Oryzias latipes: one gene and its partners. The protein of the gene in region 3 purifies or fractionates together with the protein of the main gene of each other region. This does not show direct contact. Links are inferred from orthologs where the notes say so. Each region holds a gene or a part of one and is shown on either strand. Other genes may lie near its edges.

Evidence for each region.
Region 1: the proteins of cnot10 (region 3) and capzb purify together in Homo sapiens (co-immunoprecipitation; 3 studies listed by BioGRID and IntAct, with this or other methods). This does not show direct contact. The link is inferred for Oryzias latipes from reciprocal best matches to the Homo sapiens genes CNOT10 and CAPZB.
Region 2: the proteins of cnot10 (region 3) and cnot1 purify together in Homo sapiens (affinity purification with mass spectrometry; 4 studies listed by BioGRID and IntAct, with this or other methods). This does not show direct contact. The link is inferred for Oryzias latipes from reciprocal best matches to the Homo sapiens genes CNOT10 and CNOT1.

The regions. Positions count from the first base shown.
Region 1 is NC_019863.2:2,090,632-2,094,948, reverse strand, and holds the start of capzb (F-actin-capping protein subunit beta), read right to left. Parts: upstream 2,896-4,317; 5' UTR 2,595-2,895; coding exon 2,592-2,594; intron 1-2,591. UniProt on the Homo sapiens protein: F-actin-capping proteins bind in a Ca(2+)-independent manner to the fast growing ends of actin filaments (barbed end) thereby blocking the exchange of subunits at these ends.
Region 2 is NC_019864.2:25,882,110-25,885,756, forward strand, and holds part of cnot1 (CCR4-NOT transcription complex subunit 1), read right to left. Parts: intron 3,133-3,647; coding exon 2,836-3,132; intron 2,737-2,835; coding exon 2,596-2,736; intron 2,507-2,595; coding exon 2,402-2,506; intron 2,231-2,401; coding exon 2,111-2,230; intron 1,918-2,110; coding exon 1,723-1,917; intron 1,582-1,722; coding exon 1,439-1,581; intron 147-1,438; coding exon 38-146; intron 1-37.
Region 3 is NC_019874.2:7,745,754-7,749,859, forward strand, and holds the start of cnot10 (CCR4-NOT transcription complex subunit 10), read left to right. Parts: upstream 1-1,305; 5' UTR 1,306-1,501; coding exon 1,502-1,532; intron 1,533-2,115; coding exon 2,116-2,210; intron 2,211-2,315; coding exon 2,316-2,477; intron 2,478-2,549; coding exon 2,550-2,703; intron 2,704-3,797; coding exon 3,798-3,937; intron 3,938-4,106. UniProt on the Homo sapiens protein: Component of the CCR4-NOT complex which is one of the major cellular mRNA deadenylases and is linked to various cellular processes including bulk mRNA degradation, miRNA-mediated repression, translational repression during translational initiation and general transcription regulation.

The DNA of each region.
Region 1 (4,317 bases), on a different chromosome or scaffold from region 3:
TGTTCAGGATCTGTGGCGCCCTGGCAGGACAACGCCGTGTGGGAACAGGCAGACCTCCTGACTTGTCATGTGAACATTTTTTGTAAACATACACTGACTTAACCACAGTTTTTTTTTTTAAACACAGTGTTTAGATCACAAAAGGTGTATTTCTTCAAATTGGAAAAAAAACTTTAACTTAAGTGAACTGAAGAGGCCATGAGGCGACATAAATAACTCACATGTGGATGCAGTTCTCTGCACATAAACATTCCTCACAGGCTAGTCTGTGTTGATACAGCAGATCAGATTGATGCTAAAAACTGAAACGCTAAATGTGTTTTAACTGTGACAAATGACAACTAGAAAAGGTTTTATAACCCATCTTATTACAAATAATTTAGAAACGTGTCACAAAAAACGGTTTCTTAGTTCCACCGTTTGTCTTTTACATCTATTTCTACTCATTTCTTTTGTTGAATATTCTTCTGCCCAGAGTTAAAAAGGATCAAATGTGTACAAACTGTACAAATGTTGTGCTGCATCAGCTATCAGATCGAACGACGACGACCTGTTTGAGTGCAGAAAATCTTTCCCTCCATAAATCATTCCTTAAGAGTCTGAAAAAAACGTCTCCGGGGAGCAATTTCTCCACCTCTGAGTCACTTGTTTGGCTCCATCTTTAAGCCTCTTTTAGCTGATCTTAATCTGCATCATCAGTCACCTCCGTTCCTCGCACGTTTCTGTGTAAATACTAGCTCAAGCCAACAGGCCCCGGGGTCATGGGAGACTAGCAAGGCAGGACGGTCAGGATTATGACCGAGGCTCAGAGAAAAGGCGACTCCAGAGAAACAACATCTGCTGCTCCTGCTTTCAGCCACGCAGGACAGAGATGGGAGCTCAAAACCTGAACAAAAACCAAATTTCAAAAAGTCAAAAACAAATATGTCTTCAAAGCTGGACTCTGGGTTTCCTCTATCGTTAATCTCCACCTGAGTTATTGTTTCTGCGTCACTGTCTGCTTCCTCATACAAACTATGAATATTAGAGAAACATCCACGGCTCCAGAAACAGAAAACTGTTAGGAAGTTACTAAAGATTCATGTGACATTTGAAAAGTCCAACAGTCACCAAGCAAAAACCGGCTTTCAAGTCAGACTTCTGTAATATATTCTAAACAGTCAAATAACTTTGATTATGGTAGGTTTATGTTTTGGTTCTGCGCAATTTAGAAACAAAGTGGACAGAAATGGCTGGGAAGACAGAAAGTTGTCTAAAACACCTGCAGAGGCTAAATGTTTGGAGACATTACAACGGATAAGAATGAACAGTTTGTCATGTCAAACTCAGTTTTGTGAGACAACCTTTCAAACTAAAACGTAACAACAAACCTTTTGTTTATCAGGTCTTTATGGGACTAACAGACGATAGAAAAGTCCTTAGTTTTTGTTCTTTCGAAAGGTTTCAGGAAGTTCAAACAATATCAGGACACAAACAAATGTTCACCCAGTTGTGTTATAATTATTTAGATTTTATTAGAAATACCAAATGAAAATCATTAGCCTGTATTGAAACATGAAACTCATGATGCGAACAAATTCTTATTTTGGCGTAAAACTAATCAAATTCTTTGACATTCACAACATTTGTCTTATGTTTATAATAAATGAATTATAGTTCAAATGCTTTGAACATTTGTATTTTTTTTTTTTTTTTTACAAAACAACCTAAAGTGTTTAAAGTGGCGGCTGGCCTCTATTGATTATGCTGCACCTTTCCATCCTCACTATGGACTGATGTGCTTTTATTTGTTCAGACAAAAGCTTTCTGGTAGATTTTGATGAACAAATTCAATTTTCTTTTTAAAAATCTTCCCTAAAATCAGTTTGAAGCTCTTAAGTGAAAACTGTCTAAACAAATTTGGTTTTAGAAGGTAATCTAGAAAAAATGTATGAATATTTGAGTAGAATTGAACATCTAATGCTGCATTTTATTCATCTTTTAAATAACTGTTGGTAGTTTGGCAGTGATGTCTGGCTCTTCTGACCTAAATGAGAACAATAACATTAGTTTAACTCAAACGTCAACATTGATTTGTGGCATTTCTTGTTGGGGTAAATGTCTTCTTTCCTTTAGGAAGTCATGACTCCCCAAGCAGGAAACCCAGCAGCAGCAGCAGCAGCAGCAGAGGCAGTCGGTCAGCCCGTCACGGTCAGGAATACGAGCAGCGAGTCTTATTTTAGCGACAGCCGCCTCCTAGATCAACCAGTTTCAATGTCTGCTATATTTGGGGTCTTGGATACTGCTGCTAGCAAACTTGTGTCAAATCCAAAACATCCTGTGCTAACTTTAAGCCTAGCCTAGCAGGTAGCCCGAGTAACAGTTAGCTAACACCTAAACATGCTAGAAGAGACGGGCAAACCGTCCATGAACAGCGGTCCTAGTTTATTTACTCTCCTCATTACGGTTGGATGCCTCTGTGATTTTTATTTTTATTCCTCTCATGTTACCACTGCTCGCTTGTCGTAGCACCTGAAGGCGTATAGTTAGCCGCAGCCCCTCCAAAACCCTTCCCCGTCTCTCCCACCAGCTCCGCCGCGGCCCTTACTCACCATGTCTGCGGCGGTCTCAGCGGGGCAGGGGGGCACGATCCACAGATGCCGGTACGCGCTAGGTTCGCTTTTAATTTACCAACTCGTCCTTTTCGCTTTTTGTGGTTTTTATTTGTATTTTAGTCCCCTGCGGAAGATGTTTTCTTCGCCTCTCCCTCAGTGAACCCAGCCCTGTCAGCGAAATTTACTTCCTCAACCGGGCTACAGGAAGGAGGCCACGGCGAGAAAACAGGCCTCGCTTTGCACATCCGGGTCACTCCGGGCTGTCTCAGCAGCAGCCAATAGCAGCAGAGCAAAAGAGGTATTGCCAAGTATGGAAAGAGAGGAGTGGAGGTGTAAGTATGCAGCCGGAGAGGGCGGAAGACACTTTGCTGCAAAGACAGTATAGCATCGGTCTATAGGAAGAAGTTAAAAGCATTGCTCTTGTAAATAGATAATTAGGAAGTTATGCTGGCAGTTTGTCTGTTTGAGCTTTGGGACTGCAACCGTTTTTAATGTGTTCCCTTTATTTTGACCTCCAGGACATCACTGCCAAATCTTCCTGTGTTTTATTTGTGGGAGTGTGCAATTAAATGCATATGATTGGTGTCTCCATTAGTTGTTTTAAAAGTACATTTTGTGACAGTCCAACTGTCATTATGAGTTGTAAAACTTAGGAGTTGACTTAAATTTGCAGTCAGACTTCAATGTAGATAAACTTGTGACAAAAGGCTGGACTAGTCTTGGCATTTCCTCAGCATTTAGGAAATGTTTTCAATATTAAAAAAAGCTAAACATAGACAAGAGTAGTATTTATGTCCTCCGCTTTTCTGACGTTAAAATGAATTTAGGTCGTGTTCAGGGCCTCAAGAAAGGCAACATGTTTTCCACAGTTATTTACATTTGCAATCAGCTTTAATGAAGAGGTCCTTCTTTTCTTCATGCCACCCTTTAGCACAAATATATCTATTTAAGTGTACTACAAGTCGATGCTAAAAGTGAGGCAGTATACTTGAAGTTTACTTTTCATAAAGGTACTATCTATTTATTGCAAACTTAGGATGTTCCAATTTAGTCTAAAGAAATGTTTCTACTCTTCCCGGTCTATGGTAGCTATACATACTTTAGTTATATTTAAGTATACTTCATACAATAAACTGTACTTTTTCCCAGGGGACGCTAACATACGTTAAAACATTTGAAATTGTGCATGAATTCCTGTCGAAGAATTTGGGCAGTATAAGGTTCAGCATTAGACTGGTTGTTATAGGAATTTTTTATGCTTGTTTTTGTATAATAAATCCTAAATTTTTATTTTACAAATTTTTCCTAATTTTGTTGGTTTAATTTTCTTATGACCAGCTGGTGCCTAAAAGGAAGACCTGAACGTAAATTATGGAGACAAAATAACATTTCTCTCTTGCAAAATTTTTAAATAGTCCTCACATTGAGAGTATGAGAGGTACAGAGATTAGGAAGAAAAAGAAATTCACAATAAAACTGAGGAATGGGAAGAAAAAAACATAATTCTAGAATGAAGAGTAGCTACTTTTTCTATTTTTGCACATTTTGAGCACCCCTTCAGTCTTTTGCACATTGCTGTCATTCTTCTTTTTAACTGCTGTAGCAATTGAATTTCCCCAATGTGGGATCAATAAAGAATATCTCTATCTCTACTTAAAGATAGCCCCTTTAATTTCCACAAGATGAACATTTTCATAATTAAAAAAATGTTTGTTTTGTTCTT
Region 2 (3,647 bases), on a different chromosome or scaffold from region 3:
ACGTTTAAGAAATGTGAACCGACAAACAACAGGTTACCTGCGCCAGATGCACGTCATACTGCTGCATGTTCACTAAATGGTTCCTGATCAGAAGCTCGACTGCCTCCACGTTGTATTTGTATTCATCCCGACATTCAATCAGACACCTGAAACACGCATCAGGTTACAACTTTACATTTTTCTCTGGATGCTGCTTTGTCCAACATTACCATTAAAAAGACTAGAATGAATGCAGGAAAAGCTGTGGGCCTATTTTTCCTTTACATTTAGGAACACTCAGATCTTTTGATTAAATCCAACTCTAGTTTTCTTTTTTATCTTTCTAGTTTTGTTCTTGTAGGGCAGTGTGACGGTCCGGGGAAAGGTCCCTTTACATGCTTCCATCTTTTTTTTTTCTTTCCACATGAACATTTTTGTTTAAACTCTTAAAGTTCCAACCTTTGCAGGAAAAAAGCCTCAGTATTATAGAATGAAAACTATCTGCTCGCTATTAAAGATTTATGTACAGAAAGTCATTCCTGCCATCAGATGCTACAATTCATCTGGCAGCCATGACTGTCCATGTACACGGGGGTTTTGAGAGTTCTGCTTGTACATCTTTCTTCCCTCTATATTTTGAATTTATTTTATGGCGCTGCTACAACTGAATTTCCCTACGGGGATTAATAAAGTTAATCTTAATGTAAATTGTACAGCCAATTGAGGTACAGAACACAGGACAGTGTTAAAAAATAAAGATAACAAAGCAGGCCAAATTGCACTAAAGAAAAAAAACGGTCCAACAGCAATATCTCAATAATTGAACTAGGAAATAATGAGGGACCATTGTTATTCTGATCATAGAGGTTTGATGAATTCACATCTGAGCAGCTGTTAATTGATGCTGCTACATTTTCAGTGCTTGTATAAAAACAACTGAAAAACAAAGTCATTAAGTCTGAGATTCTGTCTGATAAAAGTGATTTTAATTTGGCGACTGGCGAGAAAGGGGTTAATTCACAGGAAGCTGCAGCTCACAAATAAATTAAGATGAAGAGATAAAGCTTTGTTCACTTGGGTTGGATCTGGGTGGCCCGTCCTCTGATCATGCCTTTGGCTCTTTGCTTCTTTTCGTGTTACGGCTGAGGATAAATATTCTTATGCCTAAAGATGCTGCAACGACAGTAGTCCGATAGTTCTTTGTGTGTCTGGTTCCATGTTTGCTTCTATCTCTTGTTGCAGAGGCTTTTCCTTTCCTTTCCTGTGTGTTCATGCTCTGCTTTTGGAACTAAAGTTCTCTTTAATCAAGTTACTGCATGTGGAGTCCTGCTCCTATTTTCCTTTCTGAGCCCCCCACTTCCTGGTCTTTTTTTCCCTGAATTCCTCAAATAAAAACTATAATCGCTCCTCAGTTAAGGTAACCACATGACTGCACCACCAAGCCAGTTCAATCCCTCACCTTGTGATCTGTTTATTGCACCACTGTGGTCCATAAGCTCGTCCGTCCTGCAGGGCTTTCAGCACCAGCAGGTGGCACTCTCTGTAGCGAAGCAGCAAATCTGCATCAGCACCACTTGTAGCATCCAGGAGTCCTTCCACAGCCTGGAGGGGCAGAGCAAACAAATCGATATGAATGCGTGACTTTCAGAAGAAACATTTCTAAAGTCAGTGGAGCTCGGGTGTTTTTTGCCAGAGAGACTTGGATTGTGAAGCTGTTTTGACACAGAGCTGCAAGAGTCGCACCTTCTGCAGCAGCCCAAGAGCAGCAATGCCATCCCTGGAGTTCCTGGCCAAGGCCACGGACTCCAGCAGGCTGCGCAGAGCCTGAGTCAGAGGGTTAATGGTGAGAGTTGGAGGGATGGCGTGAAGATGCTGCTCCATGTCTGCAATTAGCTTGTCATAGATCTGAGCCACGTCATCAGTGGCCCATGCCTGTTGCTGAAACACAAGAGAGGGATGGAGTCAAAAACATGTTTCTGGTTCGTCTGTCAAAAGAAAATACAGAGCTGAATATCAAAAATAAATGTGTTTCTTTTTTCAGAAAGAAAAGGGAAAAACATTCAATATTTCAGCTTCTGAATGACGGTTAGGACTTTTTTTTTTCCTTGACGGACACAGGAAATGACCTCACCTTCATGGGTTGAGCCAGGAAGCCAGTGGGCTGTGAAAGATCGTTGCTCGGCAGGAAACCCGGGATGTTTCTGGCAAACTCCTCATAAACAGCCAGCTGTTTGGGGTCGACTCCTCCCACCTGCAACACACGAGCCCGTCGTGTCTCATAAAAACTGCTGATCAGACACAATCTCTGAAATTTTCCAGCTTTGAGAAATAAAAACGTTAAGGGGAAGAAGAAAAAAAGACGACTACTTTTAAACTACGGCTTATTTTAATGATTCATAATTAGACGTCATCATGATTTCACCTTCAGCCTGATCTGTTCAGGCATCCGCTCAGCCTGGTAGGTCAGGACAACGGGATCACAGTAGCGCCGTCCCTCCTGGCGAGCATGTTTCCTCAGCTCAAACTCCTACAGACATCAGAGTAGATGTTAAAATAGGGCTCAATTGTTTTGATAAAAATGTGAACAAAGAAATGAGAATATTTTAAATCCCTCACCGTAGCCAGCCTTTTGTCCATCTCTGGGCCAGCCTTCTCCACAGCAGTTTTCTGAATGAAGCAGCATGCCAGTTCACAGTTGTCCTGAGCGACCCTGGCTGCAGCTTCCTCCATCATTTCCCTCTGCTGGGGGGTTGGAGCCTAACAGAACCCATAAATTCAAACTCAGTGAGTTAAAAAAGAAAAGAGCAGAGAAAACAGTTTTGCGTTTCAAAAAGATTGTGCAGGAACTCGGCGTACCCGAAGCGCCGCAGCAAAGCTGTTCTTCAGATTGGTGGCGATGCTCACGAGCAGCGGCTCACGGCAGGTGATCATGGCCATGCCTGCCGTGAGGTTCCTCATCATGTGGTGGGCGGCAACACGCATGCGAGACTCTTCTGAATCCAGGGCGAAGTCCTTCCTGATGATCTGCTCGCAGGTCGTCATGGCGATTTTGATGGAGCGATCCACCACAGGGTGCACCAGCTCCTGGACCGCCCGCTCCACTGACTGCCTCACACACTGCTTCAGCTGGGGGTGCGCCTGCAGCAGAGGGATCTGACAGCAGGCAGGCACACATGAGAAACAGCAGAACTAAAGACATTGGAGATTTGGATGCTTTTTGATTTGCTTGGCCCATCTAAACCGCACAGAGACTACACATCTAATAGGATGATGCACAAACAACAGGTGGGGAGGAGCTACAGCCGACAGTTGGTACCAGCCCACAGAAACGAAACAAAAAAAAAAAACTCAACATTTTCCCGTTTTTTTTCTAATCTGATTCTGAAGGAAGTTTTATTTGGAAAGTTTTTTTTAGTAGAAAAGAGTGAGGAAAGGGAAGAAGGTCCTTTCACTTCAAACTAGGACTGGGCAATAAAACGATAATTGCATATATTGCAATACAACTTTTTCTTAATAGAAGAATGAGTCTAATGCAATTTTACTTTTATTTTGAAGTGTCTGAAAGTAACACTTGCCAGTTGCAAGCTTTTTCTCCACTTTGGTGAGTAAACGTTAGAGGGTTAGTCAACAAATGGCGAATAAACGTTTGCGTAAACTTCATTTTAATT
Region 3 (4,106 bases):
ACCGGTTCAGTGTGGGACACACTTGTGGTTTCATTTGAATTTGTCATATCCATCCATCCATCCATTTCTGTGTCACAGTGTTGTCTGTCGTAGGGCACACAATCACACACACATGCACACCTATAGGGACACTATTAGAGTAGCCAATTAACCAATGAAGCATGTTTTTAGACTGTGGGAGGGAGCTGGAGTGCCTGGAGAAAACCCACACATGCATGAGGAGAACAGGCAACTCCACAGACAAAGGTCCCAGTCGGGATTTAAACTGGGGCCTTCTCAGCACTAACCATTGTTCCACCTTGCAGCCCAGCGGCATTGTTATATTTGAACCCTGTTGAAGGGAATTTGCAGGACATGGGTGGGGGTGGTTGGGTGTGTTATGTTTTGGGGATGGCTCCCATCCTCGTCTCCTTGATTAGCTGTTTCCTCTATGTTCTTTCTTAACTCCATCTCTGCCTCTTTTTCTTCACGTTGTCTCCTTATTATTTGAAGTTTCCATTAATCTGTTTTAGTTCCTCTGTTTCTTCTTCTACCTCGCCTCACCTTTCCCTCTCCTGTCCATTGGAGAACAAGGAACAGTTTACCTTTAACTTGCATCTGGTATTTCATTTCTCACTGAGGTTATTGTAGTTAACAAGAAAAAACCAAACTAGATGTGATAAGGCACAAGAAGGAGACAGAGGCTTTGGGTAAGTAGCTCAATGACACCTGTGTTGACACCTTGATGCTACAAGACACAATCTCCAGCAGCTGCTCAGAGATCCGCCCAGCCTGCTGAAGAAAGAGGCGCACCATCAGACTGACCATAGCCACTGAGGAGAAGGACTGGAAGATACAGTTGAGGAGGAGGAGGAGCAGCATCATCAGGTGTCACTGAACTAATCCATGCGTATACCCCTGCAGGACTTGGAGAAGAAGCTGGATGTGTGCCGATCCTCATTGACGAGGCAGCTGTTGACCCAAAAGGAAAAGAGCAAGGAAGTCAGAAAAGAATCTTGCAAATAACAGGAGCAGACTGATCAGCTGAGCAGATACATCCTAAAGAGTTTCTGACTGTTTCATTCTCTGCCTTTTACTGACAGACAGATATTGGAAGTGGAGAAGTTCCACTATTGAGCTCATTTAATGAAGCCACAGAACTGTCTTCTACCTGATCAGCAGCCTGACTCGATAGGACGGATGTTAGATTTTGTTAATAAAGTTTGTTTATACTTAACTACAAATAAAGTTTATTCAAAATAAAAAAAGACGGCGCGTGCTCTCATTCTTACCATGGACAGTTACTTCCAAAGGGGGCGCTGTTGACAAACCGTGCGCTGGTGTCGATGGCGCCAGTGACCGAAGAAGAACCAAGAGAAGCGGCTACAGCAGTCAGTCACTGAAGCCGACCACAAACAGAGCTGGTCCGGTTCGTGTAAAACTCTTTCCAGTTGGATATTCAGGATTTCCTCTTCCCGGCGTTGTTCTTGTGTTCTCCTACAGCTCCGCGGCTGGATTGTGGATGAAGACCCGGGAAATGGCCGAAAACTCCGGTGGGTGTTCCGGCTGATGATGCTACTAACTAGCTGCTGCTCAGTTAGCGGCTGCTTCTGCATGATGATGATCCGTCAGTGTAGCTGAAACCCCCCCAAAAGACATTAGAGGTAGCCCGACAGCCCCGTGGCAGATCCAGGACTCCCAGGTAACCGTCCCGAAGTTGGGGTGCAGATAATACTGAGCAGACTGTGGTTAGATCAAAGTTCTTGAGGTGATCCAAGCAGGTCCTGCTGCTCATCATGGAACTATGACAGGACAGACCATAACTCAGACACAACACCACGTATGAAGGAACCCCAGCTTGGCCATGAACAGACGCGTCCCACAATAAACTGAGAGAAGGTCATTACGTCGTCATACACGTGACATTCTTTTGCTAAACTTAAGGCTACAATATCTGCCTTAAATGAGAGGGATTTTCAGAAATGGTCTTAGGAAGTTACCATGTGGGGTCTGAAGCCTCCAGAGTGAGAGGGAAGGACTGCAGAGACATGGCGCCCTTTGGGTTCTGGTTGAGCCACGCATTCCGTCCTCAGGTGGAACTCAGAGGGTTTGATGTCTCCTCTGTTGCAATTTCAGCCGAACGCAACGAGGAGAAGCATGACGGCTCGGGTGTGACGGGCATGAGCGACCAGGAGAAGGAGCTGGCCTCGAGTGCGTACGAGTGCTTCTTGGTAAGTCCGTCTCTCTTCGGATCGTCAGCAGAACAGGTTTTGGTGCATGTGGTGGAGGCTGGAGCTGGGTAATGCCACACGACGTGAAGCCTCTGTGTCTCACAGGCTGGACGGTACGAAGAGTCCATGAAGCACCTGGAAGCCCTGCTGGAGTTCAACAAAGAGGACTACAAGATCGCCATGAACAAGGCCGTCACAGAGTTCTACAGGAGCAGTCAGACCACCACGGGCACTTTGAGGCAGACGCTGATGGCCATGAAGAACCGGGTAACAGCAGCTCACCGACACCTGCACTCTAATACGTTATGAGACGTTTGATTGGCCGACTGTGTCCGCCAGCTCCACTCATCGCTGACGGAAGACGCCGATGGCCTGGACGACGTGGAGAACAGCCTGCTGTACTACAATCAAGCGGTCATCTGTTACCACTTGAAGCAGTTCTCTGAGGCCATTTCCATTGGAGAGAAGCTCTACCAGTTCTTGGAGCCGTTTGGTGAGTAGTCAGCAGGGCAGACTCCCCGCCTGCCGCTGTCTGTGGCACAGGTGCATGCTCTGCTCTGCGTCTGGACGTTCACATGGGGGTCACTGAGGTCACATTGTGAGAACACTGGGGTCCTGTTGTGTCCCAGAGAGGTCTGTTTCAGAAATGGAGAGTCCCTGCAGCCTCATTGATTATGGACCTGGAGTGTTTGACGACGCTGAAGTTGGCTTCCGATTCACAGCTTCCAATTCTCCAGGGGACTAAAGGAACATTCCACGGCATTTTTCACATGAAGGCCACGTAGAACCGGTTCCTCTTCAAACCCCACAGGGCCTGGACTGCTCAAACCTGGATTCCATTATGATTTAAATAGTAAATACATTAAACACAGATGTGGAGAAGTCTTCATGAATGTCCAATGAGGTTTAGTGCATGGACACACCATCTTTGGTCATGTGACCCTAAGGTCTGTGCTGAGCTCAGTTGACGAGTTTTCAGCTCCCTGGTAGTTGCTCTTCAACCAGATTCTACAAACTTCTAGCTTTTCCAATAATGGGAAATGTCAGATGTTGGGGGGGGCACACCCAAAGTCACCTGTCAGTCACCAGATCACGCCTCCTTTTTGATCCCAAATACCCTCAAATGGAAGCATCGTCTCCATTGTAGTGTCTGTAAATGTAATGAGAGGTCAAACCTGGATTTATGCTGGTGCTGCCTTTTCTGATGTAAACATCCCAGCTTTCTTTGTGATCTGACCAATCAGCTGATACTTTTCTTTTCAAACCAGCTTCAATGATGAAGTTAAAAGTCTTGGTTTGAGCCACATCTTCAGGCTGTCCATCTTCAGACGGCATGTTGTGCAGCAGGATCTGTTCTCAGCGCCTGTGGGTTCAGCTTTTTTCTGCAACGTTCTGTCTGAAAGCTCCTGTGATGGATCAAGTTCCCACAGTCACCGTCCTGATCCTCAGGGACGCGTCCCGCACAGTCTGACCCAACAGGAAGCCTGCTGGTGCAGACTGGACTGGGGGGGATTGCTCCATGCATGGCGTGCCTTACATCAGGTCTGCTCTCGGCTGTGTGTGTAAAGACTTTTTCATTTGTCCCAGAAGAGAAGTTTGCTCAGGCCGTCTGCTTCCTCCTGGTGGACTTGTACCTGCTGACCTTCCAGCCAGAGAAGGCGCTGCACCTGCTCGCCGTGCTGGATAAGCTGTCTGCTCAGGGCGGCAGCAGGAACGGGAAAGGAGAGGTAAGCGGCGCCGGCAGTGTGATGAAGAGACGCCTCATTTACAGGAGGAGGCTTTGTTCTACTTAGATTTGTTTAACCTTTTTCTGTCCCTTAGGTAAATGTTAAACCTTAAATCCTAATGATTTACAAGAACAAAGATGTTGAAAAGCAGAGTTATGGTATCTTTCGG